Linked DNA regions of Caenorhabditis elegans. The protein of the gene in region 1 purifies or fractionates together with the protein of each later gene. This does not show direct contact. Each region holds a gene or a part of one and is shown in the gene's direction. Other genes may lie near its edges.

What was found. Proteins that work in one complex are often made in the same cells at the same time.
Region 2: the proteins of cpn-2 (region 1) and mtl-2 fractionate together in Caenorhabditis elegans (co-fractionation; one large-scale study listed by BioGRID). This does not show direct contact.
Region 3: the proteins of cpn-2 (region 1) and hrpa-1 fractionate together in Caenorhabditis elegans (co-fractionation; one large-scale study listed by BioGRID). This does not show direct contact.

The regions. Positions count from the first base shown.
Region 1 is NC_003280.10:335,219-340,770, forward strand, and holds cpn-2 (Transgelin), read left to right. Parts: upstream 1-2,563; 5' UTR 2,564-2,582; coding exon 2,583-2,633; intron 2,634-2,677; coding exon 2,678-2,896; intron 2,897-2,972; coding exon 2,973-3,077; intron 3,078-3,688; coding exon 3,689-3,925; 3' UTR 3,926-4,027; downstream 4,028-5,552. Other genes in the region: clc-31 (Claudin family protein), read left to right, coding at 5,321-5,552.
Region 2 is NC_003283.11:14,016,916-14,020,498, reverse strand, and holds mtl-2 (Metallothionein-2), read left to right. Parts: upstream 1-1,825; 5' UTR 1,826-1,879; coding exon 1,880-1,895; intron 1,896-1,952; coding exon 1,953-2,128; 3' UTR 2,129-2,229; downstream 2,230-3,583. Other genes in the region: T08G5.1 (Titin), read right to left, coding at 167-271, 318-402, 446-869, 1,144-1,212, 1,257-1,299; srh-308 (Serpentine Receptor, class H), read left to right, coding at 2,923-3,241. UniProt on the Caenorhabditis elegans protein: This protein binds cations of several transition elements.
Region 3 is NC_003282.8:3,335,879-3,340,374, reverse strand, and holds hrpa-1 (Heterogeneous nuclear ribonucleoprotein A1), read left to right. Parts: upstream 1-1,529; 5' UTR 1,530-1,569; intron 1,570-1,830; 5' UTR 1,831-1,969; coding exon 1,970-1,996; intron 1,997-2,076; coding exon 2,077-2,815; intron 2,816-2,864; coding exon 2,865-3,142; downstream 3,143-4,496. Other genes in the region: F42A6.6 (Hikeshi-like domain-containing protein), read left to right, coding at 3,521-3,829, 4,202-4,354. UniProt on the Caenorhabditis elegans protein: This protein is a component of ribonucleosomes. Overexpression gradually increases telomere length, leading to increase lifespan.

The DNA.
Region 1 (5,552 bases):
AAACTTGAAATAAAACAACAACAAAAAAATTGGGGTATCGGAGGTTTGAAGCCTCGGCCTTCTGTACCATTGGCATCTGTCTAACCAACCTAAATGTTTTTTTCTTTTTTTTTAATTTAAGAAACAAATAATTTACCACTGAGTAAATAAAAAATTTCGAAAATCAGTTCATAAGAAATAAACCGAAAAAAAAGGTATAGAGAATTACTGAGAAACCCGTGGGAAATTTCAGAATATGGAGTACGTGTGCCAGAATATTCTAGACGTAGAAAGTATATGAAAATAGATTATGAACTCTTTCTTTTCTGGGATCAAGAATTCAAATTCGAGATGTTTCACACAAGAAGCAGCCAAGATATAGGTGGGGCCTATTTTGGATTTTTGCGTTTTCTAAATCAAATTATTTGGTAGGCAAATGAAACCGACGCTTTGAAAAAAAAAACCTAAATTTTTGAATTTTTGAATTTTTTCTTGTTTTTTGAAAGAATGTTACAAAAAAATTTTTTTTGAAAATTCTCCCAAGTATTTCAGAACAAAAAATGCTGAAATTCCCACAAACCTATAAATTCAACATTACAAATGTTTCATGTCGTGTTAATGTCAATATGTTACAACTAATTGTCTGGTGTCCTTTTCGAGTGTTGTCATAATATTTCAAATGTCAGAATGTCTCTGTTCTATTCCTTCCAAAAATGAAGAAGCTACAAAAAATAGGAGGGAGGTAAACATGGTGGGGAGAAGACTATTTGTAAACATGATTAAGCTGGGGACAGGGCAACGGATTAGACACCCTGTACGATATTTTTTTTAGTTCGGGAGACGATTATTCAACAAGACGAACAAGCTTGAAGCTATTTTTGAAATTTGTGGAGCTTTTTTTTAGTTTTGCGGTTTTTAAAGTTTCAAGATTTTTCAGATTTTCATCAAAAATCTATTTTTTGCAATGTTTGCAATGCAGCTGCGAGGAACTTTTTTGTAAAATTTTCAAACTTTTGTGAAAGGGGGCTGTTGTGTCAAATTGTAATGTCCCTGAAAAGAACGTAGAATTCTTACCAAACCAAATAATACAAATTTTTTGAAAAATTTCAATTTTATGGAATTGTCAAACTTCTCACTTCAAGTTCTAGTTAAAATTTCTATTCCCCGCCGTTTCCTATAATTCTGGCAGAATGTTCAAATAACACCACCGTTTAGTTATAATCTTCTAGTCCTTTCCACCATTCATCTCGATTCTCTTATTATTTCTTATTGCCCTAACAATCCCACATAGGTCTCCTCCACAAACTACTCTCTTTCCATAATCCCTTAATTACCTGGCCATCTTCTCTCATTTCTTCTCATATATGTACATACTCGTTTTTCCAACTTTTTTCTATTTTCTAGGTTTCAATTCATAACAGAGCTGTTTGAAAAAAAAAACTGTCTACATTTAAAAAATTGTCGCAAAAGTATTTGAATAATTTAAAAAATATTTTCATTGTAAGTATTGAAACATTTTTTTTGTAATACTTCAGTTGCATTTTTGTAAATTGCTAATAGTAAGCTTAACAAAAATTTAATATTTTCGAAAAACTTCGGACGAACCCCCACAGTATTCGAATTTTTTTCATCTTCAAGCTTCAAAAAAGCCCACATTTTGAGCACCGCATTTTGACTGGAAATTAAGAAACTTCCAAAATGTTTATTTTTTGTGTGAGATTCTTAAAATCTACTAAAAAATTAGATGTTTTGATTTTTCAAAGTATGTGGGTATGCCGCGTTTAAGCCTGAGCCTAAGCCTAAGCCTACGCCTAACCCTGATTTTAAAACAGTTTTTGTATAATATTCTGTATTTTTAATACCATGGGAATGATTTTTAATCATTTTCCCACTGGTCCTATTCCACCATTTAAGCCAATTTCTTTTTGTTCTAAGTACCTACTTTTTATCCATCTCAATGTATACATCTTCTTCTCCTCCTAACATATTCATCATGTCTTCTCTTCCCCAATCAAACCAAATCCCCCGTTCATTTATTCCTTCCTTAAAAGATGCCGTTCATCACAACATTTATACGATAAGAGAACGATATCGGCTGAGAGATAGAGAAAATATGAAGAGACGCAGACTTACGTGTATTATGTCCATCCACACACTGTCTTCCGAAATTCCACTCGCCCCCACCTTCCGCCGCTTTGTAGAAACCACTCTTCCAGAAATTTCATACATTTCGGCGGTGGTGAAAGCATTTTCGATTTCATCTTATCTTTTCTCTCAAAATTTCATTATTGATTGTATGATTTTCTTTGGTTAAATTGCCCAAAAAACATGTAGGTTTAGGCTTAGGCTTATGTTAAGGCCTAGGCTTATGCTCATGCTTATGCTTAGACTTAGGTTTAGGGCTAGGCTTAGGCTTAGGCTTATTCTCAGGCTTAAACCTACCTACCAACTACTCTGAAAAATCAAAACATCTGAGTTTTATATTTTTCGAGTAGTTTTTAAAATGAATTGTATCTATGTCAACCGCTACTTCCCCATTTTTTCTAGATTTTTCTCTTAAGAAAATAATGTTTTAAGTTTTCAGATCCAATTTGTCACAAGTTATGGCCAATCATGGTCCCAGCTATGGGCTGAGTCGGGAACTACAGAAGAAGGTATATTTTTTCAGATTTACCCCAAAAAATGCCAAAACTTTCAGAACGACGCCCGTTTTGTATTGGAGGAAGCAATCGAAGTTCTAAAATGGATTGAGAATGTAACAGGAGAGAGGTTCTCATTTGATGTGACCACTTGTGAATCATCAACTGACGTCAGTAATCTACTCAAGGATGGTGTGATGCTATGCAAGCTGATTGAGAAACTAGATCCCAGTTGTCGAGTCGTGTATAATAAGAAACCAAAAATGGCATTTCCAATGGTATGTTCTTTAATTTTTTTTTGGCTGATAGAAAACGTACTTAAAAGTTGAAATAAAACAATAGTTTTCATTGCAGATGGAAAATATTTCAAATTTCCTGGCAGCTGCCAAACAATTTGGTGTTATGGAAATTAGCTGTTTCCAGACTGTGGATTTGTATGAGAACAAACAATGCTATAAGGTGAGTTCAAGGTATTCTTAATCTTAGCCCTGGCTGGTTGAATGTTAGGCTTAGGCTGAGGCTTAGGTTCAGGCTTAGGTTCAGGCTTCGGTTCAAGCTATGGTTTTGACCTAGGTGTAGGCTTATGTTTAGGTTTTTTTGTGAACAAAATGTTAAATTTAACTTTGTAAAATGAGTCACCTGTAATAGAATAGCACCTTCAAACACTGGAACATTTAAAACATTGTTTGAAAACAAATTCAGCTATCTGGAATATGACAATGTGGTCAAGTTTTTTTTCTGGCCCATCACTCATGAAAACTTTGGGCCGCCTTTAGTTTTATTCCAAGCAAAACAGGCCGTAGGCGATCCCGTTAAAAGGTCGCAGGTCCTCCGACTCTAAGAAATGTCAAAAAATCATTCAAAACGTCAAGTGGACGTAACTCGTTTAGTTTTGATCGTAGCGGCCTCATTTATTTCGAGCACACCCCATACCGAAAGGGCTGGCGGGCCCCCCGGGCCCTATGAAAAATTTAACAAAAATTTAGAAATTGTTTTTTGAAACAGGAAAATTGTTATTTAAAATCTTTTACTACTTTATTACTAAATTTTACTTAATTCAAATGTTCCAGGTAATCGAATGTCTGCGTCTCCTCGCCGCCGTCGCTCAATCCCGTTCTTCTCACTTGGAGCATCCAGCGTGGGTGGTGAAGCTTGCCCAATCATCGCCACGTCAATTCCCGGAAGCAGTGATGAGAAGGGGTGAAATGGTGATCCCATTGCAATATGGTACAAATAAATGTGCATCACAGAAAGGAATGTCACCATATGGGTTGCCACGCCAGATTAAGCCAGATCCACATGGATAATAAATTAACTTTGTTTTTTTTTTGATTTTAAACGATTCTATGCAATTTTTGTGATTCTTCGTATTTTTTTGGATTTAATAATAATTTTGATGAAATTTCAAAAACCTCGTATGACTATTATCGAAATATTAAAGTTAAAACTGAAATCCAGTAGGAACTTGATTCTTAAGTTAATTCAGCTTTCTTCCAATTTTGTGAATTTTATTAAATCTATTAAATTCGATTTTTATCGATTTTTACATTAAAAAAAACTAAATATTCTCCAGCAATCTTAGATTTTATACCTCCTTACTAACATTTTCTTGATTCTTCAACTAGAAACTCTCCGGTCCACAACATTGCCACGTTGCTAGGCAAACCAAGAACAATAGGCAATGCTCAAAGAGCACAGCTCACTTTGAATATTTGATGAGCTTCCCGTAAAGAAGAGCCTATGGTTACCAGCCGTTATGGCAACAGGACCTCAACAAATCTCACGAAACGTCCGGGTATTTCAGTTTTCTATTGTTTTACAACTTTCTACCTTTTCCTATTTCAAACTTTTTCCACTGAATAACTTAATTTTTGAAACTCCTCTAAAATGGTTAGTGTTGTAGTTAGAGGACTCAAAATTGATTCCGAGCACTAAAAAATTGTCCTTTTTTGATTTCTAATGGTTTTGTACAATTTCAAAACATTATTATTTCTGCCAAAAAAACGAAAGTCATTAGATGGCTGAAAAAATGAGAAAAAATAGAAAATCGCCAAAATTTGTTGAAAACGGGTAATTCGTATTTGCTGAATTTAGAAAATCTAGGTTTAACCCATCAAAAACTATTAAAAAGTGGCAAAAATTCACAATTTTGAAACACCTCTAAAATGGTTATTTTTAAAGCTGGAGGACTCAAATTTGATCTCTGAACCTTAAAAAATTGTTCTTTTTTAGAACATAATAATTTTGAACATTTGTAGAAAAATTATTTGTTTTGCCAAAAAAAATGTACAGTCATTAGATGGCTGAAAAAAATTTGGGCAAAAATAAAAAGTTGTCTAATTTTGTTGAAAACGGGTAATTCGTATACGCTGAATTTAGAAAATCTAGGTTTAGCCCTTCAAAAACTATTTTAAAGCCTACGTGGAAGCCTGAAATCATTTTGGTTTAGTTTAAAAAACGCGTTTTTATAAATGTCTAAATTTCTGAATTTCTTTCGTAGTTGAAAATCGTCACAAGTAATTAGAAAATTTAGGGCGCACCGTACCGTACCCCCCGTAATTAAATTAGAGTTCCCATTTTGGGAGTGCTGCCTCAATTTATGAAATTTGGACTCCCTTTTTTCAATTTTCCAATTTTCTCAACTCCTCTCCAATATTCAAATATCTCAAAACTTTGTCGATTTCAAGATTTCCGTCTAAGAAATGGTCCGCAAATCGCACTGTGGCTACGGTCTGTTCCTGATTCTCGGCCTAATTCTGACCCTTGTCGCCATATTCACACCTGGATGGCGCAGCTACAAAGATAAGATTGAAAACTTCGACGATCTATTCATCTGGAATCATATTTTAGGCTCTGGAGCACCGGATCTTGGCCTAATTTCAAGATATTGTGGACAAGGGACTAGAGAAGTCAATCAGTACGACTGTAAGGCTT
Region 2 (3,583 bases), on another chromosome or scaffold:
TCTATATTTCAGATTTAGTTATTAAATTCGTTAATTTTGTGTTACTATCTATACGTGACTACATATAAAATATTCATTTGTTCTTCTTTTATAAAAGTAAAAAGGTATTTTTTGAGCTCTCAAATTCTTTAATTGATTATACAACTTTCAAAAATTAAAGCAGGAATCACATTATAATTTTTGGGATTCCCCGATATCTAAATGGTTGTTTTGCGGATATTGACTTTCCTTTCAGATGACTCGGTGGCACTGCTTTTACAAATCGATTTTTCTGGAAAATTTTGAATTATTTAGCCTATAAAATCCACAAAACTTACATCATCCGGATGGCACCTCCTGAATTTAAGACCATAGTTGATAGTAGGTGGAGGAATTGTTGGATAACGTGGGTCTTGATGTACTCTGAAAAATTTTAAATGGTTGTGTAATGAGTGTCAGAGCTCACCGAATTTTTCTGGAGTGATGTCTTGGACGATATGCAATGTTTCTGGGTTTTTGATGGTGCTTTATACTATTAAAGTTTCTTAATACAGTAACATCCTCGTTATTTTGAGTATTTCGAGAAGTTGAAGTATTTCTTTGCTTTCTCATTTTTCTTCTAACTATTCGCTTTGGCTGTTTCTTCACTTTTCTTTTCTTCTTATGTGTTTCCGTTGTGTAAATTGGACCAGGTAGAATAATCGGTGATTCAACTTCCCGAATAGTCATCACTTCGTAATTCATCATTCTATCGTCATCTTGTTCACGAGAATGATTGTCAAATAATCTTGGCTGCTCTGTAATAACATCTTCCTGAAGACGAGCTTCACTAAAGCGCCTTCTGACAGAATCAGGGCTTGTTGGCACAGAGTTGAATGGGGTCCAGTCGTCTGAAATTTTAAAATTGAATCACTTTTACGGGTAAGGCAGGATATCACGATAGTGTCTAAAAGGAGGAAGAATTTTTTCTTGTTTTCTGCCTGGAATTGTTTCAGGATTAAAATAGCAAGCCTCGAAGTTTGCCCGCTGGCCCGAAATAGCCTATTCATCAGTCAGCCGCAGAAGGGTTGTTTTTGGGGACCCCGCTTTACCGGTGTAGTATTATTTGACATTGGTAATTTTTTAATTACGGTTAAACATAAGTTAAACAATAAAATTACAAACCTGCACAAAGAGTTCCTGGGCCACATAATGTTTCATCAATATCACTTCCCCAGGCGCTATGTCTATCTTCTGAAATCTCAGTTTTCTTTTCTAAATTAAATAATATTTCAAACCTTCTACATGTTCTGGAGCGGTTCTGGAACTTTTTTGTCCCATAGAGAATACAAAAAGAGACGAAAATGGTTCAGTGGAACGAAACAAACGTGGGATGTAACCATGGAAGTGAGAATAATTGATGGAATAGCTAATGAGCTGAAGCTGAGTAGATCAGAGACTACTTTATTCTAAAAAGTACAGTAGTTGGAAAATTACATGTTTCATTTCTAATTTTCAAGGAAAAGCTAGTAATTACCGTAATCTTGTTTGTACCTGAAATTTTATGTACTGCAGGTGACCAAGTATGTTTGAGGCATGACTTCACACACCTAACTGATAAAGGCCTCTATCACAAACTAGAGTTGTGACGGAAAATTCAACTTCTCAGAATATAGCTCAAAATCTATCAAATTTTATTTTCAAAAATCCAAATAATTGTGCACGCAATGTACTTACTGCTTCATAAAGTTCAGAAGAATTGGATAAATTTGAATGAAGTTTTCAAAGCTTTTATCAGTGACTGTACATTGTGATAGGCTTGTGCTGTTATCAGCTGCCTCAAATAGGTTGTCGCTTGAAAATTTATATAAAAGGCCTACCAGCAGACATGAGAATCAAGCTTCAAAGGCTCTACTCAAAAATGGTCTGCAAGTGTGGTAAGTTGAAATTTCATTACGCTTTTAATTAATTTTGAATGAAACCCCCTTTCCCAGACTGCAAAAACCAAAATTGTTCCTGCAACACCGGAACTAAAGATTGCGATTGCTCCGACGCCAAGTGCTGTGAGCAATACTGCTGCCCAACTGCCAGTGAGAAGAAATGCTGCAAATCTGGATGTGCCGGAGGATGCAAGTGTGCCAACTGCGAATGTGCTCAGGCTGCTCATTAATTTGAAATTAATACTCTTCCCTTTGAAACAAATTCCTACTAATTGATATTGTTCGAGGTTTTTTCTTGAAAGCTGAAATAAATGTTAAATATTTATTGTAATTTCTTAGATTTTTAAACTGTCTTCCTTGTCAACGACCAGAAGCAAAAATTATGGGAATCGCGATAAAATTCAAGGAAAACTTTTGATCATCACTTTTGATCTTCACACGATTTGTTCCTTTTCAAGTAAAATATAAATCTTTTTCCGAACAGACTGAATCCATTATCAATTTTATAGACAGTGGAAAACATTTATCAAGTTAAGACAATTTTGAAAATTACGAAAAATCATTTGACCCAAATGGGTCAGGTGTTATTTCTTAATTCAAAAGATCTCAGAACCAGGAAAAAACATTTTTGTGTGGTTTGTTTTCAGCTGCTTTTCACTTAATAAATCAATTAATGCATCAACCAAATTGTTAAAAACTACAAATAGTGCGACTGAAAATTTAAAAATTGTGCCCAAACTTTTAATGAGGTTATCAATTTTCAATATCTCGAACATTTGGAAATTTTTGGAATTTTTTTGTTGGAAATTTGCTTAAAGTATTTACTAACTTTTGATCTCATATGTTTGAATGGGTTTAGATGGAAACTACCAAAGAACATGTGCAAAAGATCTCAGACGCGAAAAGCTTATCCTATTGAGTGATCAGTTTTAGAACAGGTGAAAACGTTTCCTAGCTAAATTATGAGCTTTTATCCCTTTTTAATTTCTCTCCGTGATTTACTTTATTACCTCAATACCTCAAAATGTGCACCGAGGATATTAATTTATTTGCGACTGATGAGTTCTATGCTGGAATTCTTCACGTACCTACAGCCATCGAAGTGACCGTTCAATTGTTCGGAGCATATATTATTTTAACTAAAACTCCGCGCAAAATATGTTCTGTAAAGTTCAACATGGTCTTATTGCACATTGTGGGAGCAATCGTCGATTTATATCTAAGCTTTATTGCATCTCCAATGCTAACACTACCTGTCAGTTCAGGATATCCTCTTGGATTCTCTTTAATATTAGGTATTCCAACTGATGTTCAGGTTTATCTTGGATGTGTTTTTGTTGGGGGTTAGTTTATTTTGAATTGGCTAACTAATGGTAATAGTATAATAAATATAAAACGTCTTATTGAAAACAGAAGCTTTATTATGTTTTCAGTTTCGATATGAATTAATCTAATCTCAATAACAAATTATTTGATTCCCAATTTTTTTGTGATGTCTTTGGCTTTTTATTTAAAGAAAACTTCGTGCCAAATTTTGGCAACGCACCTTTGACAACTTTCTGTCCAATTTCGGCAGTTTTCTGTCGAACCTTTGTAACTTCCGAGAGTGAGTAAGTTGTCAAGGTTTGAGAGAAAAATCCCAGAATTTTACAGTAGGTTGTCTAAGTTTGACCAAAAGTTTCCAA
Region 3 (4,496 bases), on another chromosome or scaffold:
GACTGGAATCGACTTTGTGGACAATATTTCGATGGTGAAGTACTTTCGCCCAGGTTATCTCGAGAAAATCCGCATGTATTCTTGTTATTGCTCAGCTAGCCAGGAGATGAGTGAAGAAATTGCAAATCTCGAGCAGTGGAAGCAAGCGAAACATTTTCTGTGCATTGGTGGTAGAATGAACATTCCTATTCAAAGATTTTTCCACTTTGACCAGTTCTCCATCGGTCTTCAGACTCTATCAATCGATGATGCTGTTCAGATAAGAGATGTGAGTTGGTAGTTAAAGTAGCGTTTTGTAATGTATTCTATATTCCAGATTCTCCTCAGATCGCCCAGCTTCGAGTCAGCAACTATCGATGTTCAACTACTTGAAAAAGAAGCCATTGAGAACGTCTTTACGCCGAATCACCTATTAATTTATAGAGGAAGAGAGTTCAGACCGGTGGGAACTGATTCCAGTTTTGTGATCAATATAACAAAAAACAAGCTTGAAATCCACAAGCACAAGGGAGCTAATCCACCACGTCGTAGAGACGAACGGCCAATCCACGAGCGTATACGTCAAAGGCAAGATGGATGGTGAAGTTTCAATGGTTGCTCTAATACGTTTACATGTCTATCAAACCTTTTTCTGTTACTTAAGTAAATCGTTGTTTCATATTTAACCAGTCTTACCTACGGCTGGCATATCGGACGTCCGGCGTCAGAACCTTGTGCGTCTGGTTTTAGATGTTTGAAAATTTTGGAAAATTATTAAAGTCTATTGATAACCTGTCAAAACCGGACGACCGGACGCCAAATATGACAGCCCTAGTCTTACCAGTATAATATTTTTATAAACCTAAAACAGGTATGAATATCTCTTTTTTCTGCGCAGCGCTGGGATGCTTCTGTTTCAGAAAAATCACATGGTATAAAAAATTTCCAAATTACAGTAGTCCTACCGTAATCCTGCATTATCCCACTACTGTATGTACCTTGACATTATTTTTCCTCGCCCAACTCCCAGCCCAATATATCTCTTCAACAGCTAAGAACTACATTTTTCCTAAACTACAGTAAACCAACAGTATCCCTACAGTACCACATTAATTATAAATTAAAACATTATTTTTCATAAGAAATCGTGAGAATTTCGAGAAAAATAAAGGATTCAAAGATTATTTGAACGTTTTTTTCGTGAAAAAATGTCAAAGAAATCAAAATGTTCATCTTCCTTGTGAAAAATCCGAAAAGCCATTATAAACTAGTTGATTTTCATAAAAATTTGTAGAAATATTTTTCTTAAAATTTGTAGAAGAATTTTAACGTTTTTTAAACAAAAATTCCAAAATTGGAATTTGGTATTGAAAATACTTTTTAAAAGTTATTTTTTTAATTTGTAAAAATTTAACTAAATTCAAAAAATAAAGTTTCCCTCCTTTTTTTCTTAAAGGCACACACATTTATCGACTCGGGTCTCGCCGCGAACAGACGCGACGCGACGCGGTTAGGAATGCGGCGCGTCGCGTGTAACCCTTTTCTCTGTGGTTTTCGAGAGCATTCTCTCTCGGTTTTCGTCACAAAAAGGTATGTTTTACAGGTTTTCCGCGCACTGTTTTCGCGTAATTCTTCATTTTAATTCAGATAATCTAATTGTTGTGTAGTTTTAGCTCGAATTTATCCGTAATCTTTGATTAAATACGAATAAAACTCGCTAAAATAGTCTTATTTCTCAGATATTTATCGATTTGTTATTTTCCACGAATAGTCTACTCGTGCATGGCGTCTATATTTAACTTAATAATCTATTTTTAGATTTATCTTTACTCTAACTTGTACCTATTTCAGTGATCAACACCTCTGTCACTCTTTGTGAGTAATAGCGTTCGATAGGTAGTTACACCGTGAAACTAGCCTGTCTATTTCCTACTTCATAAGCTAAGAACTACTTGTTAGCACAATCCGATCGACTACTAAGAACTAGATCATGACGGACGTGGAAATCAAGGCTGAGGTTACGTTTGTTCACTTGCTTTTAGGGTGTAGGCCACCTGATTTGGGTCCCGATCATTTAATTATCGATTTTATTTTCAGAATGGAAGCGGAGATGCCTCGCTCGAGCCAGAGAACCTTCGAAAGATTTTCGTTGGAGGACTCACGTCAAACACCACCGATGACCTGATGCGAGAGTTCTACTCACAATTCGGAGAAATCACTGATATCATCGTCATGAGAGATCCAACTACCAAGAGATCCCGCGGATTCGGATTTGTCACCTTCTCTGGCAAAACTGAAGTCGATGCTGCCATGAAACAACGCCCGCACATCATCGACGGAAAGACCGTGGACCCGAAGCGTGCCGTGCCACGTGATGATAAGAACCGCTCCGAGTCGAATGTCTCCACCAAACGCCTGTACGTCAGCGGAGTTCGTGAGGATCACACCGAGGACATGCTCACCGAGTATTTCACAAAGTATGGAACCGTCACCAAATCCGAGATTATTCTCGACAAAGCCACCCAAAAGCCAAGAGGCTTCGGATTCGTCACCTTCGATGATCATGACTCTGTGGATCAATGCGTTCTTCAAAAATCCCATATGGTCAACGGACACAGATGTGACGTGCGCAAAGGACTCTCCAAGGACGAGATGAGCAAGGCTCAGATGAACCGCGATCGTGAAACCCGTGGCGGAAGATCTCGCGATGGACAGCGTGGCGGTTACAATGGCGGTGGTGGTGGCGGCGGCGGCTGGGGAGGACCAGCTCAACGCGGCGGTCCAGGAGCATATGGTGGACCAGGAGGTGGCGGCCAAGGAGGATATGGCGGAGGTAGTTGGATTCTGGCTTGTGAATTCTCGATTCTAATATTATTAACTTTCAGATTACGGCGGTGGCTGGGGACAGCAAGGAGGCGGCGGTCAAGGCGGATGGGGAGGCCCACAACAGCAGCAAGGAGGTGGTGGCTGGGGACAGCAAGGCGGCGGCGGTCAAGGCGGATGGGGAGGACCACAGCAACAGCAGCAAGGAGGCTGGGGAGGTCCTCAACAAGGAGGCGGCGGCGGTGGCTGGGGAGGCCAAGGCCAGCAGCAAGGCGGCTGGGGAGGTCAATCCGGTGCTCAGCAGTGGGCTCATGCTCAAGGAGGAAACAGAAACTATTAAATTAATTCCTTAAGCCCCTCTAAGTGTCCAACGTGTCTGAGCTTCCCGTGCTCTCTCCTCTGTATCGATCTTCTCAACCATTTTTGCTCTGCTATCTCATCAAAATCTTCTGTACTTTTTCTTGTTGCCTTTCTCCAGAAAGTTTCGTTTATTATTCAATTTTTTACCCTGTCTTTTTTATATAATTTATTTCTAAATTCGCACAGTTGACATCCATTCAACTAGAGAATGAATGCAGAGTTTGACACCAAATTGGCTTAATTTTCAAGCTGTTTTTAACCAAAATAATAAAAAAGTCTCAACTTTACAAAAATGTTTATCTGGATCTGGACGACAGCGAGCTGAGAAATTGATATATTTTCAGAGTAAAAACTAAAAATGTCTGGAATTTTTGGAGTCATTGTCTCAGGGAGGACGCCGATCGAAGTGGTGCCGGTCTCCGATACGGAGTTCACCTGCGAAATTGTAAACGCTGACGCGATAAACCACGTGGTGGTCTTCCTTACCGGAGCTCAACCGTTTCCGGACGGAATTGGTGGCTCTGGTGATCATTTTCAGAATTTTCCGCCCAAAAAAACCCAATTTATTTCAGTTTACATCAGATGGCCCACCCAAGACGGCGGAAATTGGCATTATTTGGGATTTATTTGCAACGAGAAGCCCAGCGCGATTTATAAAGTTGCTCAGGTGTGCATTTTTGATGGAAAAATGAAAGAAAACCACCGAAATTTCGATGTTTCTCTGTCGATTTTTTTTATTTAAAAACTTAGAAATACTCTCAATTTCGCATTTTTCACCAAAAAAAAGAATCTCAACTGGTTTTTCACATAGCTTAATTTTTGAAGAAAAATCTCAACAAAACCCAGTTTTAAGTTTCAAATTCTCAAAAATTGATCTTTTTTTTCCCTTAAAAATCCAGTTTTTAGCTCCAAATTGTCATAATTTTCCAGAAAAATTTAGTTTTCGAGCTAACAACATTAAAATTTCACAGAAAATCTGAATTTCAGCCTTAGAGATCCAAATTTTTCGGCTGAAAATCACAATTTTTCCATTTTTCAGCTCCACAAATCCGACGCTTCTCACTCGTTTTCCCAATTTGACAATCAAATGCAACTATATTCCAGTGGATCAGCTCAAATTGGAATTAATGCTGAAAGTTTATCTGATATCACTGGACGGCAGGCAGCTGATGGGACACAGGCTAGCCAGCAGGTGAAAAATCTTGAAAAAAATACTTAAAACCCTGAAAAATCATGGAAAATGGCCTGAAAAGCTGGAAAAATGCGATTTTTGCCTACTTTTTCAATGAAAAATCAAAAAAAATACGAATTTGAACTAACTTTCGCTCTGAAAT